2 linked regions of the Astyanax mexicanus genome follow. The main gene of each other region encodes a partner of the protein of the gene in region 2 in a complex. Links are inferred from orthologs where the notes say so. Each region holds a gene or a part of one and is shown on either strand. Other genes may lie near its edges.

Region 1 (7,386 bases), on a different chromosome or scaffold from region 2:
AACATGAAAACTGTGATTAAAAACAGGGTTATTCCACCAAATATTGATTTCTGAACTCTTAAAACTTGAATATGAACTGAACTTGTTTTCTTTGCATTATTTGAGGTTTGAATGCTCTGCATCTTTTTTGCTATTTCAGTCATTTCTCATTTTCTGCAAATAAATGCTCTAAATGACAATATTTTGATTTGGAATTTGGGAGAAATGTTGTCTGTAATTTAGTGAAATAAAACAAAAATGTTCAATTTATTCAATATATTTACCTATAAATAGCAAAATTAGAGAAATTGATTCAGAAACTGAAGTGGTCTTTTAATTTTTTTAGAGTTGTATGCTGTGGACATAAAACGCATGTTATATCGATATGGATCCATGTACAGCATTACATTATATAAATGTTTATATCTCACCTAGTTTACAAAATACTGATATTCACATATTGTTTAGCCCTATCTATGAGTCAATTTGCCATTACTGAAACAACTGTGCAGTTCTGGAATCATCTGAAAGAACATCTAACAACAAGTGTTTGGAGAGCGCGCGCCCTGTCCATGGTGCTGAACCTGACAGCTCAAAACACCACCCTAATAGATCAGAACAGACCATCTACCATATGAACGCAGCAGCTGAACAGACTCATGCTTCATTTCTGGATGAGGATATTGCTCCACAACGGCACAAACATCTCCTTTAGAATTTAAGCTTGATGCATCGACCCGAGCGGCGCCGCATCAGTGAACAACAAAGGAAGCGGCGCTCTGATATGAAAATGCACTTTTTTGTGTGTGTGCGTAAAACACATTTCAACGAAACTGCCAACAGTTACCATGACGACACGGGTGGAAGACCCAACTCCTCAGCTATCACAGAATGTTCACGAAACGTTGTGTTTTGGTTTCCTTTTGGTTGTTTTGTGGCACGTTCAGACAATGTTGTTCTACTTTTGTTAGAGAATAGTCTAACAAATTACCTAAGAAAGAACCTTATCTTAAAGTTTTCTTTAGGATTTATTTCTCATATGTGAAAAAAGAAACTAACGTTCCACTAACGTCCCTGGATTTTTTCTCATGATACAGTAAGAGAAAAAAATAAAACTGTAGAACAAATATTTGAGTTTACTAAACATTTCTATGTTCAATTTAAGGGTTAGTGCAAGGTACTCCTAAAGTATCAACAATTTTATGCTTACAGGAACGTTTAGGGGAACGTTCCTAAAATTATAGTGCACAAGTAAACGGGAATGTTCTATTTCTTACTATTTCTTCTGTCAAGCAGTATATTAAACTTCCCCCGAAGGAACCAAAAATTAACCAAAAGCAATCCATTCCCAGAACGTTCTGAAAACTTTAAAACCTAAAAGTACTGTAATGAATTTATGAGAACTACCAAAGAAAGTTAGCTCAAAATTGTCTGCAGATTTTTATTTCTCATGTGTATAAGGAAACTTTCCAGTCACGTTATTTTTTCTCATGATTCAGTTAGAGAGAAAAAAAAATCACTTTACATTTTACAGGTTACTGCAAGTTTACCTCAAAGGGCTCAATCGTTTGAAGAGTACAGGAACGTAAAGGTAATGTTTCTAAAATTATAATCAAACGGGATCTTTTTTTTATTTCTGTAAAGCTATAAATTAAACTTTTCCTTGAGAACCAAAGGTCAACATAAAATAATCCATTAGCACGTGTGTTACCGTTTCAGAATTCAAAAACTAACGTTCCCACAACGTTCTGTAACAATCCGAAATGAACAATTAGCTATAAACGTATCTTTTAAGTTAGTTAGTTTCAGTTTCACCAGCCCCTACCTTGCACTCCTCCATGCACGTCCTTACTGAGTAGGCATCCGTTACGTATCGCTCCGTCATGAGCTCAAACTCCTCGTATTTTTCCTGCGCGTGCACGTCGTAGCTCTGGTACGCCTGCACGCACGTGCTGCAGCGGTCCAAGTCGCCGGCGCGCATGGCGTCCACGCTGCAGTTCAGGAGGTCCGGCCTCGACCTGCCCTCCAGCAGATCCATGAGGGAGTACGAGTCGCAGAAGGAGAGGCGCAGGCGGGCCGCGAGCGCGCTCCACTCGCCCTCTCCACCTTCAGCTCCACCTTCAGCTCCAACTCTAGCTCCGGCTCCGACTAGAGCTCCCCAAAGACCCTTGCACAGGTGGTCGGCGTCCACGAAAGTGAGGCAGTTCTCAGTGGAGCAGTTCGCTATAAAAATAACATCTTCGTTACTCCTGAGGCTGCAGGGCTCGTGGCCCGTTCCTGTTCCCGTTCCCATCCCCGATCCCGTCTCCGTTCCCGTTCCAGAGTCCATGATGTCCGTTCCCAAGCTTGCGCACGCCGGCCCCAGGCGCTCAGAGAGCAGCCCGGTGAGGAAGAGGAAAGAGGCCAGTGACCGGCGCCATCGCCATCGCCAGGCCCTCTGACAGTCGGTGGAAATCGGCTGCGCGTCGTTGTTGTCCTCCTCCTCCTCGCTGTCGTTGTTGTTACTGTCGTTATTGTCCTTATTGGAGCTGGAGCTCCGACCGCGTGCGCAGCAGCACCACCACCACCACCAGTACCAGCAGCACCAGTACCAGCACCAGCGCCAGCAGCGCGTGCACGGGTTGGAGCCGTCGTCGTCTCGCTGCCGATGATCCTGTCGAGCCTCGCGAGCGCCGCTGGTCATATTTCGGGCGCGCACGGCGGCACCACCAGCAGCAGCAGCTGCAGCAGCAGCACGGGCCGACTCCACCGTGGGGGCTCCTCCGCCACCGACGCCGCTATGGTCATCGACGTGTTGGTCCGCCGCTGCCGGTACCCCTGCCTCTGCCGCTGCTTCTACCCCGCGTCGTGTTCCCCCCCACCGCTGAGGAGTCCTGCTGCTGCTGCTGCTGCTGCCGCCGCTGGTGGTGATGCTGATGCTGCTGATGATGTTGGTGGTGCTGATGCTGGCACTGATGCTGGTGCTCGAGCGATTCCAAGCGAGCGGTGGGTTTTACAGCGCGCATCCTCGACCCCCCGTGCCCGCGAGCCGCCGCGACTCTACCAACAGAAAGAAGCAGGCGCGAGGCTGCGGCGACATGGCTGGCTCTTCTCTTCTCCCACCCCCCCACCCTATCCTTCCCTTATCCCCCCACCTCCTCCTCCTCCACCACCTCCGCGCGCGTGCCACCCCGGCGTCCGGTCCCGTCCTGTCCCAGCACGGTCCGTCTTGTCTTCTAGCAGCGCGTCCGCTCTTCTCGTCCTTCTTTGCGCGCGCACGCCGTCCCCGCTTCCCCCTCCGCCGCCGCCGCTGCTGCCGCCGCCACACGCTCGAGCCTCCGCCGCCGCTCCTCCTGCTGCTGCTGCTGCTGCCGGTTCCGGGGTTTCTGCTCACGAGCGCAGGGACTGCTTTCAGCGCGCCGATTCTTTACGCTGGGCTCTGTTCTCTCCACATCAGCAGCCACAGTCATCTTGCTCTACTGTTGGGTTGCCGCCATGTTCGTCTTGAAAGCGCTTTATTGAGAGCAGCAGCGTTTGCGTCATCCCGGCCGCTTTGAGGGATCTGCCCCGGCGCGCCAGATTCAACCCGGGGTGAGCCGATACATATCGATACCGGCGGAACGATACCCGAACAGAATGCACAGGTCAACGTCGGCTAAATACATGAACTGTGCACAGAAAAAAAAAAAAGAAAAAATATCTATCCTACCACTTTGCCGACTACGCTTTAGGCTAAAAAAATACAGCCAGGCTCCTTGTTTTACATTTTTGTTACTGTAAAAAAAAGAGTAAATAATCACTGTCTCCTACAGTTTTAAAGTTCAAAGTCAACAAAAAACCCACTCCATTTACTATAAAACTGAACTGATGTTTTATTCTTCTTTTTTATTGCTTTATTTGGATCCTCATTATATCTATCTGCAAACAAAACAGACACAACATATCATACATAACAAATAACAAACAATACATCATAATTACAATGGTCAGTGTAACGTTTATCAGTTGAATTTTTCCGACCCTTTGAGGCTAAATTTGACAATAGAGACAATAGAAAATTGGGTGTTAACTTCATTATTAAATGTTTACATTTGACATATTAAAGATAAATTTGGGTTTTCAAATATTTTTTCAAGTTTTTTATTTCTGCTCCTCAAGATCAAATTTACATGAAAAAAGAAAAGTTTTCTGATATTACAATTGTTTTTTTTTCTGGAATTCAGATCCTAATCCGGCAGAAATTAAAAAGAAGAAAATCAATTTTTGTGTGTGCAAAAATTAAAATACAAAAAATTAAGATCTATTTTTATTTTTTTTATTCATATTGTGAGAGACAGAAATGAAACACTAGATTAAAAGTAGCCTCAAACAGCCAGAAAGGTAAACAGATAAACATTATACTGACCATTCACATAGTCATATATGTGCAGAAATCATTGTAATTTGTAGGCTTTCAGAAACTGCAAGGCAGACTAGTATTCCATGAAGAAGCACTCTGACTGAATCCAGTGATTTCAGAATAATAGTCAAAAACAATATTTACAATGCAATACCTAGTTATATTAATACAATTTCACAAAGACAGAAAACATTACACTCGAAACTATAATTACACATCAATATTTACTTAATAAAACATGCTAGACTTATATTGATTGGCAGTGTGTGTGTGTTTCCCTTTGAAAACAAGCCACAATTAAAAATATCAGCTCTACTCATTGGTGGGAATGCTTTTTTGAAAGCTTTTAATAAGTGCTTTCAACAGGTTGCCCATTCAAAAAAACAGTAGCATAGCAACATGATTGAGCTCATGAATATGAGGAAATCAGCAACAATAGCGGTCTATGTGGAGAAAGCCTCATTTAGCAGTGTTTATTTTGGTTGAAGTCAAAGCATGTCAAACTAATTCAGTTGTTCAAATGAATGTAATGTGCCCCGCACTGACAGACAGACAGCCCCTGAATACTGACAAATATTTAGATGTTCACTTCTCTCCCTGGTTAATACAACCTGTATCAGCAAAATCTCAACACCTCCAGTGACAGATTACATACAGTGTGGATATAATGTATTTAGGGGCCCTAAATGCTGTAAAAACTACAAAAATACATACTGTAATTGAATTTAACACTCATCTTTCACAAATATTAAGAGCCCCATATTTAAGTGAAGGATTGTTGAGTTTTTTGCTGATTAGAACTGAGCAGTTGATACCCAGCAATATTTGCATTTCCATTTTTCAAGATTTACTCTGAACTAAAATGTTGTTACAAAAATAAAGAAACGTTATCTTTGTGAGATAACCGCTGCTCCATCCCTGACATCAGAACCTATGCACTGTTTTATTTTAAAGGGGCTGAAGACACTTTCTGCATGTTCAGCAATAAATAATATTAATTTCACCTTTACGCATGCATATTATTGTCACAGGAGCCAAACACAGGACAGAAAAGTGCGGATACGATATAGATAATTTATTAAATATTTATCAAATTAACAAAATGGCAGCATAAATAAACAACATACCAGAGTGTGCAGCCAAAAAGGTCATACACAGGTAATCCAAAACAGAGTAATAGGGCAAGACAAAAGGATGGTAAATACACAGAAATAGGTCAGAGCCAAAAAAAGCTAACAAACAAACTAAAGAGCAGTCAAAAATACAAAAAGCATTGGCAACAAAAGTGTCAAAACACAAAATACGTTCAATACCAGGCAAGGAGTGAGTGAAAGTGAATGCTATTTATAGTGCAGAGTCCAGGTGTGTGCAATCAGTAGGAGGGCGAACTGGAACACCCATGAGTCACGTGATCCGGCATGTCCAGAGAGTTGAGTGCAGGTGTGTCATAGGAATTGGAGTTTGTTTCAGAAGCATTCAGAAGCTGACGAACAGTGACAGGACTGATACATTTTTGCATGATTTTTTTTTTGTATTTCCACTTGGGTCTTGACTGTACCTATAAACACTCCAACATTGCAAAAAAAAAACATCCATCCATTTTCTGTGAATCAGTTGAAAGAGTTAGGTATCAAGAATCATATGCTTTTAAGAGTAGTTTAAATAGCTACCTTTATTGTGATGTCACAATAAGAAAACATGCATAGAAACACCCTTGCACCACCCCTCATCCGTCAACCGCCACCAGAGCTCCACTCACTAGCTCAGCAATTTCAGTTATTTTGGTTCAGAATCTCAGACAGTGCACAAGCAGGATTAGCCAGCAGACTTCTTCTGACGGAGGGATCTATAGCTATCTAACCACTGTCTGTGGGAAGTCAGCAGTTGAGGGGTGTGTACGTAAACACTTTTACACAATGAGTGGTTTAACATGCTGTGAACGCTCAGCATAAACATTGCATAGCCAGTGACATCTTGTTTGCATAAAAGTGACAGAGCCCTCAAATGGCTTATTCTGAAAAAGACTGAAACTGACTAGAATAAGGCTGTGATTAATTATGTACGTGATTTTGTGCAAAGAACTTCATGAACTTGTTTTGTACAGTATGGCCCATAGACCTGTTCTAACTTATATCTATAAAAATGTAATTAAATGGTATAATATGTCTCCTTTAATGTTAATGGTAATATTGTCTCCATACTTTGCTGAGGTAAATGTCAGCTCTCCACCCTTTCATGGTAAGATATTAAAACAGAACAGGGTCACCATGAACAATTGAAAATATCTGCAACTGTAGGTTAACTATGTCTTATTTAAATGGCAATATAAAAGTGAAAATATATACAAAAATATATGAAAATATATAAAAGTGATAATACATAGTATAATACAAGCAATCCAGCATGGCATGGTAATAGCCAAGAAGACAATTTTATTGGTCTGGAATAAAGAAACTGCACCCAAATATAAAACGTGGCTTACTGAATAATTTAGTACACTCCATATGGAGAAAATCAGATATGAATGAAAGGGGGAAATTTGCTAAATTTGGTCAAATTTGGAACCCCTTCCGATGTATGTAGTTGACAAGACCAACCTATAAGAACCAACCAAGGTAGCTTGGATGCAAATGCGTTTAAAACCAGGAATAAATCACAAGGCAAAAGTGGTAGTCAAGGACAGGCAAGGATATTAAAAACAGAAATACCAAACACTGAAGGAAATCACTCGATAAGTCACTAGTGTGGCAATGTCTCACAATTAAACTAAGCAAGTGACCAGGTATATATATAAATAGTCCATGTAATCAGCTGATGGCCCACAGGTGTGTGGAAGGGGTGGAGTCAGCTATTAGTACTCTGGAGAAGAAAGTGTGCTGCTTCCTAAAAATATATAGTGATTAAGCTGGAAAAATATAATTTTTTGATGTAATCTGAAGTCTTATTATTATGAAGAATAGCCAAAACAATAGGCGCTGTATTCTAAAAAAAAAAGGTCCTTTGCTACTTGTCCTCCACACGTCTTGAGA
Region 2 (7,735 bases):
TCCATTTTCTCCCCAATTTACAAGACCAATTATCCAACCCACTCATTAGGACTCCCCCTACTACTACCACTAGTGATGCCCCAACACCAGAACTCCAACTGCTGCTGATGCAATATTGCCGAGTAGCATCACTGCGCGCTCGGAGGACAGCGCAGCGACTCGGTTCCGATACATCAGCTCACAGACGCTTTGTGCTGATCGACATCATTCATTGAAATTATGTGGGGAAAGAGCACCATCTACCCACCCAGAGAGAGCAAGGCCAATTGACAACCAATCATAGTGGGAGCACTTTAGACCACTGGACAATTTGGAGCCCTATAATGTGTTAAAATATTTTTAGTTCAATTCATTTTTGTTGTTTACCCAATATTCTTCCCAATTTTGCAACCATTGCTACCACTGCATCCTTACTATGCAACCAAATTGCTCAGAGGAAAGTGCAGATTCCCAGCTATGATACAGTGGGGCATCCAACAGATGCCTGATGAGCAAAGAGAGTTCATTTTAGCATGTTCTCCTCCACCAGTCTTACACACTGCTTTTGGATAACTTTATGCTGCTTTACTCCTGGTGCAAAAGTTCAAGCAGTTCAGCTTGGTTTGAGAGCTTGTGACCATCCATATTCCTCTTGATTATATTCCTGTAGTAATTTGGTAAAATCAAAGAAACTTTTATTTTTCCAGAGATCTATATATTATTAGTTAGTGCAAGATGCCAATTACATCTTAGAAAATATGAAATTAAATATGCAGTGTTATCAGGAAACACAGTTGACAAATATTCTACAGCATTCCTAGCTTAATAGTGTAGTAAGTAAATCCAAGGACATAGCAAAGCACCTTTTATTGTGGAGAAAAGGTATTTTTAAAAGGAATGCCGGCTCTTACACATACAAAGAAAGATTTGCAGAACATCAAAAGGTTGTTAAAACGTCTCCAGAGAAAAACATAATTTCATTATGTAAATTGTTTGTATCCTATAAAAGTCTGAAATGGAAATAAGCTGCTAGATTTAAAAAATAGCCAGTGCTACTAGCTAAAAAAAAAAGTAAGCGCACAGTCCTGATATGTCACTGAGACACCAGCCATCAGGGATAATCAGGGCACAGTCTATTAGCTGCCACTTCTAGGGATGGAAATGCCAGATATGTGGCACAATCTCATTTGAATGACTCACTGGTTTGTTGATCCAGAGGATGTCAGCACTGTCGGTGAGCGTTTCATCAGGCCCAAAATCCGTCATGGGCTGCGCCTCGACGCGCGAGCTCTGCTTCCTCTTCAGCATGCTGGGACTAGCCGTGCTATAAAGGGAGTGAATCTGAAAGACACAGCCACACACAGTACCAAAACTGACTCCAAACGCAGTTAGCACTGGGCTACGATGTTCCTAGCCGCTTGTGTTAAAAGCTAATGTCGCAATTAATGCTAATAGCTGCTGTCCATGCACTACTAAACTATGGCATTAAAAGCTCTACAATGGACTATAATAATAATCCAGTAATAAACAGTACCAATCAAAAGCCTGTACACACCTTCTCATTCAATGTTTAAATTATTTTCTTTTTTTTTTACTACACTGTAAGTTAATAATGCTGAAGTCATCCACACATAAGAAATCATGTAGTAAATTAAAAGTGTTTCTGAGACTGGTAACTCTGATGAACTTATCCTGTGCAACAGAGGAAACTCTTGCTCTTTCTTTCCTGGGGCAGTCCTAATGAGAGCCAGTTTCATCATTACGTTTTTGATGGTCTTTGCAACAGCACTTGAGGATACTTTCAAAGTTTTTGAAATTGTTTGGATTGACCGACCTTCATTTCTTAAAGTATTTTTTTTTCTTTATTTAGTTGAGTAGTTCTTCTCATAATCTGGATTAGAACATTACTCAAATAGGGTTATTCACTGTATACCAACTCTACCTTTTCACAACTTTACTTTAACTGATGATCTCAAACACATTAAGAGGCAAGAAATTCAAGTAATTAACTCTTGACGAGTTCAGCACAGCTGTTAACTGAAAGCCTGAATTCCAGGTGACTCTACCTCATAAAGCTGACTGAGGAAGCTGTCATCTAAGCAAGCAAGAGGTGCTACTTTGAAGAATCTAAAATTTAAAACAAATTCTGGTTTGTTTAACACATTTTTTTAAATTAGTGTCATATTTTTCTTAATAGATTGGATGACATTAGTATTAATCAATTTAAGGCATGTCCAAACTTTTGACTGGTACTGTATGACAAGCAAGCGTATAGCAAGCTCAAAGTTTAGCACTATTTCTATAAGTATTTTATACAGTTTTGCTACAAAAGGAGAAGGAAGAGTCTAATACAGGTATGCCTACACTGACATGCAGAACGAACAGAACAAAGGTCAAAGTCTCAAATCTGAGATATCTCTCCACGGGAGCTGCGCATTACAACATAAGAACACGTCTCCGCACCAGACAGTATGCATTGTATTGTTGCATGGCATAGGTGGAGCACAATCAAGCGCATGGAAACACACAGAACACGGTTCACTTCACACCAATATATATACTGACTTACCTGCTGCAAAGATCATGCTCGATCTTCAGCAATATAAACACACCTACAGGCAGTCAATACCGAGTTTCGCTTAAAACTACGAAGTAAAGGCCATTCTCACAGTGGACAATAATATACATGGATATCACACACTAACTGAAACAAAGCGCACATACCAACGGGAAAAGTAAAGCTGAAATTGCTCCAGCACTGCACATAACATGCGATCAGGCATACCCTGTAAATAACACACAACAGTTAGTCAACATGGCATATATGGTGTACCAACGTGTACAGTACGATTATATCAACAGATAATGTCCACCACAATCAGACAAGGCATATATGCGACATGGGGTGTTCTGGACAGATGGGGTTGCTGGGTCATGTGACTCACGGTCAGGCTCCTCATTGGTGCATTCATCCCCAGAACACAGAGGGGTGGAAACCAGTACGAAAGATAAATGGGCAGCAGAGCTGTGACTTTTCTTGTGCGGCTGTAGGAAAGAAAATGAAGCAAGAAAGAAAAACTCAAATTAGGATTTATTTTTTGTTCTAAAGAAAATATATAGACCTTTCTAATTATAACATAAGCAGGGGGCCTACAGTGGACAGAGCATTGGAGGGTAATAATTGTTATCAGCAGCATGTGGACCCATATGCTCTCATATTCATATATCACAAGTCAATGCAGTGTTCTTTATCATACATGGTTTATGGCAAAAGTCATGGGATACTAGTTTATTTGGCATGTTACAATATATGAACAATATATGAACAAAACAAAGCCTCTTCACATTTAAAACATTCATCTAGCACTGCTGAAAACCTCTCAAAGCTCACATTAAGCTGTGCTCCCAACTAGGGGTGGGCGATTTGGTCCTAAAATAATATCACGATATTGCATGGTATTTCTGCGATAACAATATAGTTGACGATATGACAAAACACTGAAAACATTAAAAAATGTCAAGAATACTGTAATGCCAATGTCAAAACCTCCCAAAGCTCCCGTTAAGCTGTATATAATATAACACACACCAACTATCTAACTATGTCTTTAGAAACTGTATATTCAGTAGGCTTCACTATACATGTGTGACGTTTATACACATTTGTGACATGTTTACATAACATTGTTATGTTAAATATGCTTCCCATATAAACATCTGATTTAACAAAGGCCTTATGCCAACCACAGAAACACAGGAACAGCCAGGGGTCTCTAATAACCTGACAAACCACCAATAGCACACACTTGAAAAATAAAGATGTACCCTCACTCAGGCCTTTGTTTTTATCTTAAGCTACTTAAGTGAGAACTTTTCCATCAAGTGAGAACAACTTACTCAAAAAGCTCTATATTGTCAAAAGCAATCTGCAAAATAGGCCTTAATTGCTACACTTAGCATATGTTGGTAAGGATTTATGGATGAGTGAAAACAAAATTACAGGGTGGGTGTGCTGTAATGTGGGAGTAGGTTGGAGAGAACTGCAATTAGTTTCACTTCTGGAGAAAGGACCTTCTCGCCAGAGGCAGGATGCAATCACTGGGCATATTAATGATAGCTGTGGGTGCCCCCTAGTATCACAAAGTAGTATGAAACTGTTTTAAATATGTAAAGAGTATCATCCAGGGTTATTTGCACAGTAAAGATGTAATCAGAATGTTATAACAATGTGGTTTAAAGCAAACTAAAAGCATTTTGTGACAAATTATTTGAAAGGCTTTAACTGAAAAGTCAAATTATTGCAAAAATTGTGTAGCCTGTAGTAGTTCTGAATAATAACCAGGAGGGTAAAGATTAGCACATGCCTCCTCCGATACTGCTGCTGATGTAGCATTACTGCGCAGCCAGCATGCTCGGAGGACAGCGCACAGACTTGGTTCTGATACATCAGCTCACAGACACCTTGTGCTGATCGACATCACCCTTTGGAGTGATGTGGGGAGAGAGAGCGCCATCAACCCACCAGAGAGAGCAAAGCCCTCTGTGCTCTTTCAGGGCTCTGGCAGCTGATGGCAAGCTACATGAACAGTTAAAAAGAGAAATTTATATAATTTATATTTATTTATATTATCAGTTATCTGTCCAGTATCAGTTATTTATTTTACAATTTATATTACTTTATTCCTGGATGTATGGAGATATTTGGAGTGCATTATTAGTATCATGACATTCTGGATTATTGACTTCTGATACAAATATGTAGTGTGTTCTTGAAATATAATGCCAAGAGTATCGTTATTACGAAAATACCATGAAACATTGAAATATTATTTTAGGGCCACATCCCCCACCCCTACTGGAGAGCTATAGCTACTGCGGAAACAGGAACTGAATTATGAATGTAAAAATGTGATGGGCACATAATGCATACTGGAAAGCTATAGCTAAAGTTATAGCTAAGCTATAACAAACAGGTTAAGTGTTACTAGGTGTAATGGGTATATAAGAAGAGGCGTGTGGGTTTCCTATTTCAGACTAGAGCAGCAACAGCCCCTCAGCATAATATACATAATCTGTATTGGAGGAAAACGTACACCTAGATCATCAGTATAACAGTATGGACCACCTTCATTGACTAACAGTGGACTTTAAATTGGAGGAACACGTGACTATAGCTAGCTAACATTAATTTCACACATTATAGGCCATGCCTGTCCTCTATAGTCTTGATTGTCTTGATTTTATATTAAAAAAAGCTATAAAACTACTCAGAGTAGATAATTCTAGCAAAAGTAGGAAAATGTGTTTGTATACCAAAAGTGTATATGTACATGGAGACCCCATCCCCCCTCCTCCCTCCCTCTTTCCCTGAGCCAACACACACACACACACACACAGAAACACACACTCTGAGCCGGTTGCCATGGTAACAGATGAGAGCAGGGCTGCCACTGGCTCAGGAAAAAAAAGGATAAATCGTCTTATTATTAAAGATACATACAAACAAAACACATTTACACGCTTAAAAACTGCCTGTCTTCGTTTTCAGCACCTACACGTTGTTAAAACGTCGCTTCTTTCGTTCTAAATACGCGTTTATTTTACCCAAGGCCTTTAGCTATAGCCTGTGTAGCACTTCCTGCTAAAGCTAATGCTAACGCTAACATCTACAGGTAAACAGCCCAGTCAAATCCCTCTATACGGCCCTCACAGCGAAACCACGGGTCCACAGGGCTAAACATCACCTCACAGCGCCGCGCCGCTCACCTGTGGGTCGGTCTGCGCGCCTCACTGGTCCGCTGGGTCCATGTTTCCCGCTGAACGCCGGTTATGATGGAGCTCCGGTTACAGAAGCAGCGGCGGCGGAGGGGCTACTGCAGCAGCGGCAGCGTCGGGCACGCGCCCTGTCCTCAGCAGCAGCAGCAGCACGAGACACACACAGGCCCTCCAGCACCAGATACAATCAATGCACACAGCCAGGACTACAACTATAACACACACACACACACACGTTCATTCAGGTATAAATCTAATATTTATGGAGGATTTAGGAAGAAACACCTGTTAAACTCTTTGAACCTATAGGTCATTATAGAATAATTAACTCTCTGTGGCATAGATTATATTTTTAGTAAGGAAATAAATCACAACACTTATTGGGGAGTTTGTTTTTCCTATGGGACATTTTTTTTTACTTTTTACTTTGATAACAAGTAGTAAAATAATCGGATGATTATTTATTTCGATTAGTCGATTAGTCAACGTTTTTTCCTGCCACCTCCTCCAGCTCTAAAAACAATAGAAACAGCTGAACATGAGATTTACAAGGTATTTAAATGTCTAGATGTTGATTAAATGTGGTAAGTACTGAGATTTAGTGAGTGAATGTGTAATTTGTTGTAAATGTTTGGGCACTTTTGGAGACACAGACTAAGTTGAGTGCAAACTGTGTGAGTGACTTTTTCTAGATCATCCTTTTTTTTTAAATATCATTTGATTGGCTAAATTGAATGATATTTATATCAGTGACGGCATTCACTTAAAAAAATCAAATTCAATCATGCATTATTGTAGTTCCCTGTATTATTGTGAGAGGGCAGTAATAATAGTGTAGTGTGTTTTAGGCCAGGTGTAAACTGGATCATGAGATCACAATTTCGTTCCACCCATGGAACATTTTTTACTTTTTATTACTATGTAATAAAACCACATATGGCTCTGTATCCAAATCAAAGGCAACAAATGCATCCTAACATTCCTAATATGTGGACAGATTCCACCTTTACCTAGTTATATCCACTCATACAAGAGCAGCCTTCCATCTGTTTGAATGAGCAAATACCCAAATACTTTAAACCAAGGGTTTTAACAATTTTAACAATATATATTAAATCACTGATATAGTCCGACAAAAATGCCATTAACAGCTAGTAACTTTTGGCATCATGATGTACAATGATGCAAAAGCAAATGTGATTAATCCATCTTGTTATAGCTTCTGCGCTTACTCAGATCTCCTCATCCAGGGGTGCTTTCCCCAATATCAGGCTGACCCTCCTCATTTCACAGCGTGAGCAGCTAGCTGATTGGCTGTTCATGTTTAAGGGTAAAACGAAAAAAATCTGTAAAACGAATAAAACATTTATCCTGCATGCTTTTGACAGGAAACACTTGTGCTGCATTCAGAATTGCTTCCTACTGCAGAAATAATGCACTATATGATGCGTCAGCCAATTTCTATTGCTTTTAGAAGTCTTAAAAATACACGATTATATTAAACACCTATAATGCATCACAAAATGTAGTGTTTAGACAATGTACACTAGAATTTCCAATGTATACCATAATGCAATGTGGGGGTGGTGTGCCAGACGTACTCAAAGGGGCACAAATTAAAATTGTTTGTTGTTTGGTAGTTTCCTAGTCAGTTCACTATAAATCAAATGCTATATTATAGTACATGCTTATGCTAAATGGCAAGAGTTTTCTACTACTATATATAATATAATTAATTTACATTGTATACTTAGTATATGTTCCTATATATGTGTTACATTGCTATTGTACATTGTAGGTCTATATGCATTGAAATAATAATTATAAAATTGATGGAAGGAACTAAAATATTAATTCACATAAAATGTTTATTTAATATGCTTTATGAGCGTATGCTAGCTAAATCACAAAGTACACACTGTACACTACGAAAAAAAATGTGTATTATTAGATCATCTTTATTAACAACTGTTTTGAATTA

The links.
Region 1: the proteins of nalcn (region 2) and nalf1a are in contact, whole or in part, in a cryo-EM structure (PDB 7CM3), measured with the Homo sapiens proteins. The link is inferred for Astyanax mexicanus from reciprocal best matches to the Homo sapiens genes NALCN and NALF1. Residues at the interface, in NP_001337678.1 of Homo sapiens: Cys207, Val209, Asn220, Leu222, Ala223, Ile224, Pro225, Thr227, Tyr237, Pro240, Phe243, Tyr406, Glu409, Phe909, Ala1044, Lys1045, Asn1047, Pro1049, Arg1054, Ile1060, Arg1062, Ile1063, Asn1064, Val1065, Ser1066, Lys1069, Lys1080, Lys1081, Gly1083, Phe1084; in NP_001073865.1 of Homo sapiens: Lys278, Glu281, Phe282, Val285, His287, Lys288, Tyr289, Leu290, Gln291, Glu294, Tyr295, Ser296, Val297, Lys298, Ser299, Tyr308, Trp311, Leu312, Gln315, Leu335, Gln338, Thr339, Cys341, Phe343, Ile344, Leu345, Pro346, Asp347, Asn348, Asp349.

The regions. Positions count from the first base shown.
Region 1 is NC_064428.1:21,850,050-21,857,435, reverse strand, and holds the start of nalf1a (NALCN channel auxiliary factor 1), read right to left. Parts: upstream 3,058-7,386; 5' UTR 2,663-3,057; coding exon 1,805-2,662; intron 1-1,804. UniProt on the Homo sapiens protein: Auxillary component of the NALCN sodium channel complex, a channel that regulates the resting membrane potential and controls neuronal excitability.
Region 2 is NC_064418.1:3,881,886-3,889,620, reverse strand, and holds the start of nalcn (sodium leak channel non-selective protein), read right to left. Parts: upstream 3,025-7,735; 5' UTR 2,952-3,024; coding exon of another isoform or gene 2,925-2,951; intron 2,766-2,924; 5' UTR 2,746-2,765; coding exon 2,704-2,745; intron 1,321-2,703; coding exon 1,180-1,320; intron 1-1,179. UniProt on the Homo sapiens protein: Voltage-gated ion channel responsible for the resting Na(+) permeability that controls neuronal excitability. NALCN channel functions as a multi-protein complex, which consists at least of NALCN, NALF1, UNC79 and UNC80.